Linked DNA regions of Oryctolagus cuniculus. The protein of the gene in region 1 interacts with the protein of each later gene in a biochemical or structural test. Links are inferred from orthologs where the notes say so. Each region holds a gene or a part of one and is shown on either strand. Other genes may lie near its edges.

Region 1 (3,643 bases):
CCCGGCAGCCCTTCCCGGCACAGCCCCCGTCTGCAGCTTCTCTCCCCACCGGCCCCCTGCTCGGCTACTACAGGCCCTTGTACAGGCTCAGAGCCCACCCTCGCTGCGCCCTCCAAAGCCACGCTCCCCGCAGATCTGCTAGGCAGAGGGCAACGGCCGAGGAAGGCCCGGCTCCGCGCTCTCTGGACGTGGTGAGCCGTGTGCAGCACTGCTCCGGGCCCCCCGCCCTCGTGGCCAGGCCAGGCGGCCCCAGGCCACACCTGAGCTCCTGCTGCGCAGCAGTGGAGTCCAGGGTGTCCTCCAACTCTGTCTTCAGCGCCTCCAGCTCCTCCCCGAGGTCCCGCTTCTGCTTCTCGGCCTTGTTCCTGGAGGCGCGCTCGGACTCCAGGTCCTCCTGGAGCTCGGAGATCTGAGATTCCAGCTCCCGGATCTTCTTGAGGGCCATGTTCTTCTGGGCAGCCTCTTCTTCCACTCTGCCAGAGAGACGCTGTCAGCCTGAGGCCGTGTCCCCTGCAGGGCTCCGCCCGCAGGAGAGGCCTTAGAGGGGCAGCGGGGCAGCCAGCGCTGTCTATGCAGGTACATCATGGCAGTTCAGTGGCTCTCAGCAGAAACATGAGGTATCCCAGACCCGGAACACCTCAGAGAAACCCCTTCACCTTCCAAATGACACACACACACACACACACACACACACACACAATGGGGCCAGCACTGTCCTGTGGTGCAGCAGGCTAAAGCCATGGCCTGCAGCACCAGTACCCCACAGGGGTGCTGGTTAGAGTCCTGGCTGCTCCAATCCTGACCCATTACTCCCTGCTAATGTTCCCGAGGGAGCAGAGGAAGATGACCCAGGTGCCTGGGCCTGTGTACCCGTGTGGGAGACCAGGAAGCAGCTCCTGGTGCTTGGCTCTGCCTGGCCCACCTCGGCCGTTGTGGCCATTAGGGAGTGAACCAGCAGATGGAAGACCTTTCTCTCTGCCTCTCCTTCTATGTCTGCCTGTCTCTCTCTCTCTCTCTTTCTCTGTTTAACGCTGGCTTTCAAGTAAATAAATTTTCAAAAAAATTAACTTTAAAATGTTACACGAAAAAGGAAATACTCTAAAAAGCTACAGTCCATCAGACGGCAACTAAGTGGCAGGCAATGAGCTGTGGGCTTTGCATGGTTTTGTCTCACTGAAGGTTCACCGAGTGTTGACATCGGCAGAGGCCGTGCGTGGGGGAGGCGGGCAGGGTTTAGATGGGAAGTCTGTATGTTCTGCTCAATCTTGCAATGAATCTAAAACTAGAAAAATCAAGTCTGCTTTTTTAAACAAATGTGTGCCTATAGCCAAGAATTTTTTTAAAAAGAAAGTATTGTGGGCGGGAGACAGAGCTGTGGGTGGTTCTGGATTACCAAGGAGAAAGCCGCCCAGCACCCCAGCACCCCAGCACCCCAGCCTGTGCCGCTGGTGCCTGAGAACTTCTGCAGCCGCAGCGGAGGGGACGCTCGCGCTCGCTGGCGCGGCGAGCCTGGGCAGGGCGTGCTCTGGCCGGCGGCCACGTGGGAGCCCGGGCCTCACCTGGCCAGCGCGGCCTGCAGCTCCTCCTCCTTCTTGGCCAGCTGCATCTTGAGCTCGGCGATCTGCGCCTGCAGCTCGGCGATCTGGTCGCTGAGGTCGGTGGAGTCTCCCTCCAGCTTCCGGCGCGTCTTCTCCAGCTCCTGCCGCTGCTTCTCCTCCCTGCGGAGGCGCTCTGGGGGTGGGGGTGGGGGGACCTCAGCGGCTGCAGCTCTTCTGTGTTCAACGACTTACACAGCCAGGGCCAGAGGCCTTCGCGACACACAGCCAGTCACACCTGACCCCTGGATGCGGGACAAGAGCGCTGCCACGTGCGGTCCGGTGCCTGCCGGGCCTGTCTGCTCTGCCCTGCGGGCACACCATAGCTTCCTTCTCCAGCCCACGGGGACAGGTGTGTGACTCTCAGTGCACAAGGCCGAGCGCCGGATGGCACTGCTGGGTCAGGGGCACGCAGCAGGTGGGGGGGGGGGGTGTGTTTCTGACTCATCTACAGCTTCCTTAACACTTGCTGGTGTCAAACGTCTGTCAACCTGGTGGTCCTGCCCTCCGGGACGCCTTGGAAGGCCAAGTCCTGCAGACTCCTCCCCGTCACACACACACACACACGAGGGGTTGGCAGGGCTGGGACACTAGGCTGGGGAGGACGCCGCCGGCCGGCAGCCCATATCCACCCCACGTTCACCAGCCGGGCGCGGGGCTCCTCCAGCTGTGTCAGGCTCTCTCCCTCCCCGAGCTGTCCACGCCTCTCAAGGGGCTGGGGGTCTCAGCCAGCCATAGGCCTTCTACCGAGGCCTCCTGACCGCCACAGTCCCCAGAACACAGGAAACGAGGCAGGGCCGGCGAGCCTGGCCCACATCCAACCACCATCTCCTGCGGTCTCCCCAGCAGCTCGAGTGCGGCACAGCGGGCGACACAAGGGTCTGCTCTGAACCACGATTCCTGGGAACCAGCCAGAGCAACCAGGTGCTGCCGCGTGCCCTGGCCATCTCGCGCCTCACGGCAGCAGCCGAGCGCTGGGTCACGGGAGCCAGGGCCCCCGGCAGGCGGCCCAGGCCACGCCCTCACCTTCCAGGTCTGTGATCATCGCCTCGTGCTTGTTCTTGAGCTTGGCCAGGCTCTTGGACTTCTCCTCCTCCTCCATGAGGTTGGTGGTGAACTCGGCTATCCTGTCTTCCAGCAGCTTCTTCTCCTGAGGGGCGGGGGCGGGCCAGGCTGAGCGGGAGCGCACAGGACGCCGCAGCCCTCCTCAGAGCGCAGCCGGCCCAGGAGCGCAGGAGCAGGCACAGGCGAGGCCTGGCTGCAGGAGCACGGGACCTGCCGCACGAAGCCACCAAGGCGCCCCGGCTCCGCAGGGGACAGATGCACAGTGCCACACGGAGGGCCTGACTCGTCTCAAAAGCCAGCGAAGAGCTCGACTGCGGGGCAACGGCGAAGCTCCCTGGGGCCGCTCATTCGGGGGAACCCCCCGTGTGGCTCCGGGAGGGGGCCGCCCGGGCAGCCACGCGCGCCTGGCCCACCTTGGCCAGCTTGCAGTTCTGGTCCTCCATGATGATCTGCTCCTCCTCCAGCTTCTTCAGCTTGGCCTCCGTGGTCACCTTCTCCAGCTGCAGCTTCTGCCGGGCGCTCTCCTCCTCCTCCAGCTGCTCCTCCAGTTCCTGCCGGGAGCCGGAGAGAGGGTGGGAACGGTGGCTCTGCGAGCCCGGCAGCTTGGCCGGGATGCAGCCCAGCCCTGCAGGAGGGGTCACGCATCTGAAGCTGGGGTGCCAGGCAAGACGCCCGCAGTACTGCTCTGGGGGTCCCCTTTAGCCAGCTTCCCACTGGGCAGAGCGTGGAGGACAGGGCTGCCGGCCCTCCACTCCCAGGTCCCAGAGCAAGGGCTGCAGGGAGGCAGAACGGCCTTTGCCATGCCGGGGAGGGCAGAGCGCAGGGAGAGCTGAGAGGCCCGGATGGAACAGCCAGCCCCTGGGGGAGGCCCGTCAGCTGTGCCCATGGGCAGCGCGGGCACGCAGACCCGGACTCCTGTCCTGAGTTGGTGGGGCCTGGCGGGGAGCCCGACTCCCGTCCCGAGTCAGGGCCTGGCGGGGACT
Region 2 (3,743 bases), on another chromosome or scaffold:
GAACGGGGGGGGGGGGGACTGAGGTTCCCGGGACAGAGTGGAGGATCGCGACCCGAACCTGCGTTAGTTACTCGGGCGGAGCAGCAGGTGCAGCCGGGCAGCAGTCGGCAGGACCCGCACACAGTGGCTGGGCCAGGCCTGCGGCCGTCACTTGGGCCCTGCCTGCACAAAGTACTTGTGACAGGCAGACGTGAGCGCAGCTACAAACACCACGAACTCGTTGAAGTCCACCTCGGCGTCCCCGTTGGCGTCCAGGTCCCTCATCATTTTGTCCACCGCATCCTTGTCCTTCCCGTTCTGGAAGAGAGGAGGGGCCGGCGATGCCGCCTCTGTGGCGCGGGGCCAGGAGAGGCGGTGCCCGCCCGCCCTAAGCTGTGAGAGGCCGTGCGCCGGCCGGTGCCCTTGTTCGCCGGAGCACGACTGCTGTGCCCAGAAGGGGACCCTCCGATTTCTGACGCGCTCTGCAGTGGTTTCCGGGAAGCGGTGCAGCTCCGCGCTCTGCGCACGGCTGCCTCGGGGGTGTGCGCTTGTGCCTGCAAACCCGTAATCCCCACAGCCACCAGGGAGGAGGATGCGCGGGACCTGACCCAGGTCACACGGGGAGAAGGGGACAGTGGGGTCGCGGCCCGGGTGAGGGGAGCACGCGGGTCCGGTTGTTGAAGAACAAGTGCACCATCGCCTGCAAGGGACCAGGTGCGCAGCAGCAGCAGCAGGGGGCGCCGCTGAGCTCAGCCGGCACCGGTCACAGCTGAACCCGGCGGAGGCCCAGCGTCTGCCCGACCCAGCCTGGGCACGAAGCGGCAGGCGGAGGCGGTAGCAGTGTGCCGCCCCCACCCCGTCCCGACGCTTCGTGGCTGTCAGCAGGGCTGTCCTTGACGTTCCTGGAGCTCAGTCCCCGCGCCTCTGTGCAGCTCCACCTCTGCTGGTGGCGCTGGGCTGCCCGCGGGAACAGGGCCCCCAGGCTCGTGAGCGCCCCTGGGCTGGACCCGGGGAGCAGGGCCCCCAGGCTCGTGAGCGCCCCTAGGCTGGACCCAGGGAGCAAGGCCCCAGGACTGAGCGCACAGCTTCCCGGCCGAGCCGTGGCCTTCTCTAGGCTCCCCAGGGGGCCCCGGTGCAAACCAAGTTTGAGAATTCCCTGGTTTTGCCTCGGTGCTCAAAGCGTGCCCCCACCCCCGCCCAAACCCGCAGTTACCCTCCCCCAGCCCCAATGTTTTGGATCAAAATCCCAGAGGGCTGGGATAGGCATCCCACAGGGGAAAACCTGGCGGCGGTACCTGGCTGAGCTCCCACTCCACCTGGATTAAGTTCCTGGCTCCTGGCTTTAGCCCAGCCCTAGCCATCGTGGGCATTTGGGGCGTGATCGCGCTCTCTCTCTTTCTCTCTCTCTCTCTCTCTCTCTCACACACACACACACACAAATACAAATCCTCACACTTGGTTTCTTAGTCCCAGCACAGGGTGAGTGCGCATGTTTACCCATCTGGAGAACAGAAACAATGCCCTAAGAGCCCAAGGTCACAAGCTAGGTCCCAAATCCAGGCTTCCACTGCATCAGCATCAGGACCCTCGGTGGCAGAGTCTGATGGGGCTGGGGGGGGGGGGAAGACGGAAGGGGAGGGCCCGGACTGTCTGCAACCTGCACATCCCATGTGGGCGCTGGTTCAATTCCCAGCTACTCCACTTCCCATCCAGCTCCCTGCTCATGTGCCTGGGAAAGCAGTGGAAGATGTCCTGAGTCCTTAGGCCCCTGCACCCGCATGGGAGACCCAGAGTTCCCGGCTCCTGGCTTTGGCCTGGCCCAGCTCCTGCCCTTGCAGCCATCTGGGGAGTGAACCAGCAAAGAGATTTCTGTCTTTGTGTCCCTCTGTTACTCCGCCTTTCAAGTAAATAAATGAGATGTGTGTGTGTGTGTGTGTGTGTGTAGGGGGAGGAGAGAATGGGGAGGCCAAGGAGGGCGGGGTCTCTGCTTGCACAGGACACTGGTCCCTCCAGGCCCTCCCCCAGCCCGACACCGAGCTACACGGCGACTGGGTGTGGCAGGGGCAGGGATGGCCCTGGCTTCCACTCTGCTCCCAGCCCCACTGCCCGTGTGTGGCTGTCCCTGTCCCTCTCCCTCCAGGCAAACCTGGGGTAGGGGCTTAACGCCAAGGATCCACCTGAATACCGCACTTAGGATCCCACCTACCTGCTCCCAAGCCCCTCAGCCCCTGCCGGGGTTTGGCTCCGCCCCTGCGGCCCCGCCTCACCTGCAGGAAGCCGGGGAGTTCCTTCTCCATCAGCACCCTGAGCTCCCCCTTGGTGAGGCTCTGCGGGTCGCCCTCGCCGCCCGCGTACCGGGCAAAGACGTCGATGATCATGCCCATGGCTGTCTCCAGCTCCGTCATGGTGCTGGGCTCCAGCCTCCTGCGGCTGCAGCTGCGGCTGCGGCTGCCAGTGCTTTTTGAAGCCGGCTCCTGCTGACACAAGGGGTGGGAAGCATCAACAGGCCCTGCCCCTCCCCACTGGGCAACCTCAGATGGTGATGTCCTCGTGCGCTCCAGGGCTGTCCTCCCCAGGTGGGGCTGCTGGGGCGGGTGGGAGCCCGGTGTTTACCGAGTGGGTAGTGACCGAATGGACCCGCCCTCGCCCGCGCAGGTGCTGCTGGGCAGACACAAGGAAGCACCAGTGGAAAGCGAGAGGTGGCAATGACAAAGTGACAGAGCCTGTGGGACGAGGCCAGGATGAGAGAGGGTTTACTAGAGGCACAGCTGCGGGGCTCAGAGCGGCGCTCGCGTCAGCCGGGGGCCGCGGGCTGCAGGTTCCTGGGAAAGGCCACAAGCACCCGTTCCTGTGGGCACACACCCTTGTGAGCCCTGTTATCTCAGCCTTTTATTGATAAGGGGTCAGTTTCTGCTCCGGCCACTTCCTGCTGGGGGCGGGGCTTGACGGGAGGGGTGAGCTGGTGCGGTGTTGCCATTCATTTCTCAACAGGTCAGAGGTATTCCATTGCTGTGGGCCATTTGAGTGGCTGACCAGAGCTAGTGGGGTACAAAACAGTAACGGATGTGGCTATGAGCAGTTCCTCAGGGTAGGATGATAGGGCAGGTGCGTCTGCTAACAAGGCGGAGTCTCGGTCTTGTGCAGCTGATTCTGATTGGCTGTCAGTTGCAGACTTGGTGTTTCTGGCTGGTACCCAAATGGGCTGTTCCGCATTTTCTGGAAAGACACAAGCATATCCTCGACCTTTGGTTAGCAGAAGCCTTTTTACAGGCGCTGGAGTCCAGGGCCTGGATTTTGCATACAGTTCAACGTGTGGGTGGCATAGGGTCTAGCAGCTGCCCTAAGAGCTTGGGGTGTCTGAGTACTGCCACAAATGTGGGGATCCTCACTGGGTGCGGATGGGATGACCTCACATGAGTTATTGTCTAGAGGGCCTCTTTGTTCATCCCACGGGTATGCGGGGGTGGCTGACTAGGCTTTGCTACCTTGTATGCTACATTGTTGTTTTCACTGTCCAGCTCTCTCTCCCTGAGTATCAACTGTTGTCTGTGAGACAGACGCCTGGAGTGTCAGGCTCTTATCACTCACAGATTCACTGTTTGGTAATCTGTGTGGGATTCTGAGAGGGGGGCATCTTTCCCATGTCTGAGCGCTTAAGAGCGGCACGGCACGCCAACTCCAGCCAAAGGAAAGACACGCACAGCACTGCTGCCATAACAAAGCAAATTCCTAGCACCTCAGCGGCTGATGGCATTTTGCAGGGG

What was found.
Region 2: the proteins of MYH9 (region 1) and S100P interact in a biophysical measurement, tested with the Homo sapiens proteins (2 studies listed by IntAct). The link is inferred for Oryctolagus cuniculus from reciprocal best matches to the Homo sapiens genes MYH9 and S100P.

What each region holds. Positions count from the first base shown.
Region 1 is NC_091442.1:113,575,073-113,578,715, forward strand, and holds part of MYH9 (myosin-9), read right to left. Parts: intron 3,212-3,643; coding exon 3,074-3,211; intron 2,746-3,073; coding exon 2,622-2,745; intron 1,732-2,621; coding exon 1,560-1,731; intron 474-1,559; coding exon 261-473; intron 1-260. UniProt on the Homo sapiens protein: Cellular myosin that appears to play a role in cytokinesis, cell shape, and specialized functions such as secretion and capping. Required for cortical actin clearance prior to oocyte exocytosis. Promotes cell motility in conjunction with S100A4.
Region 2 is NC_091433.1:3,378,861-3,382,603, forward strand, and holds the start of S100P (protein S100-P), read right to left. Parts: upstream 2,567-3,743; 5' UTR 2,385-2,566; coding exon 2,247-2,384; intron 298-2,246; coding exon 148-297; 3' UTR 1-147.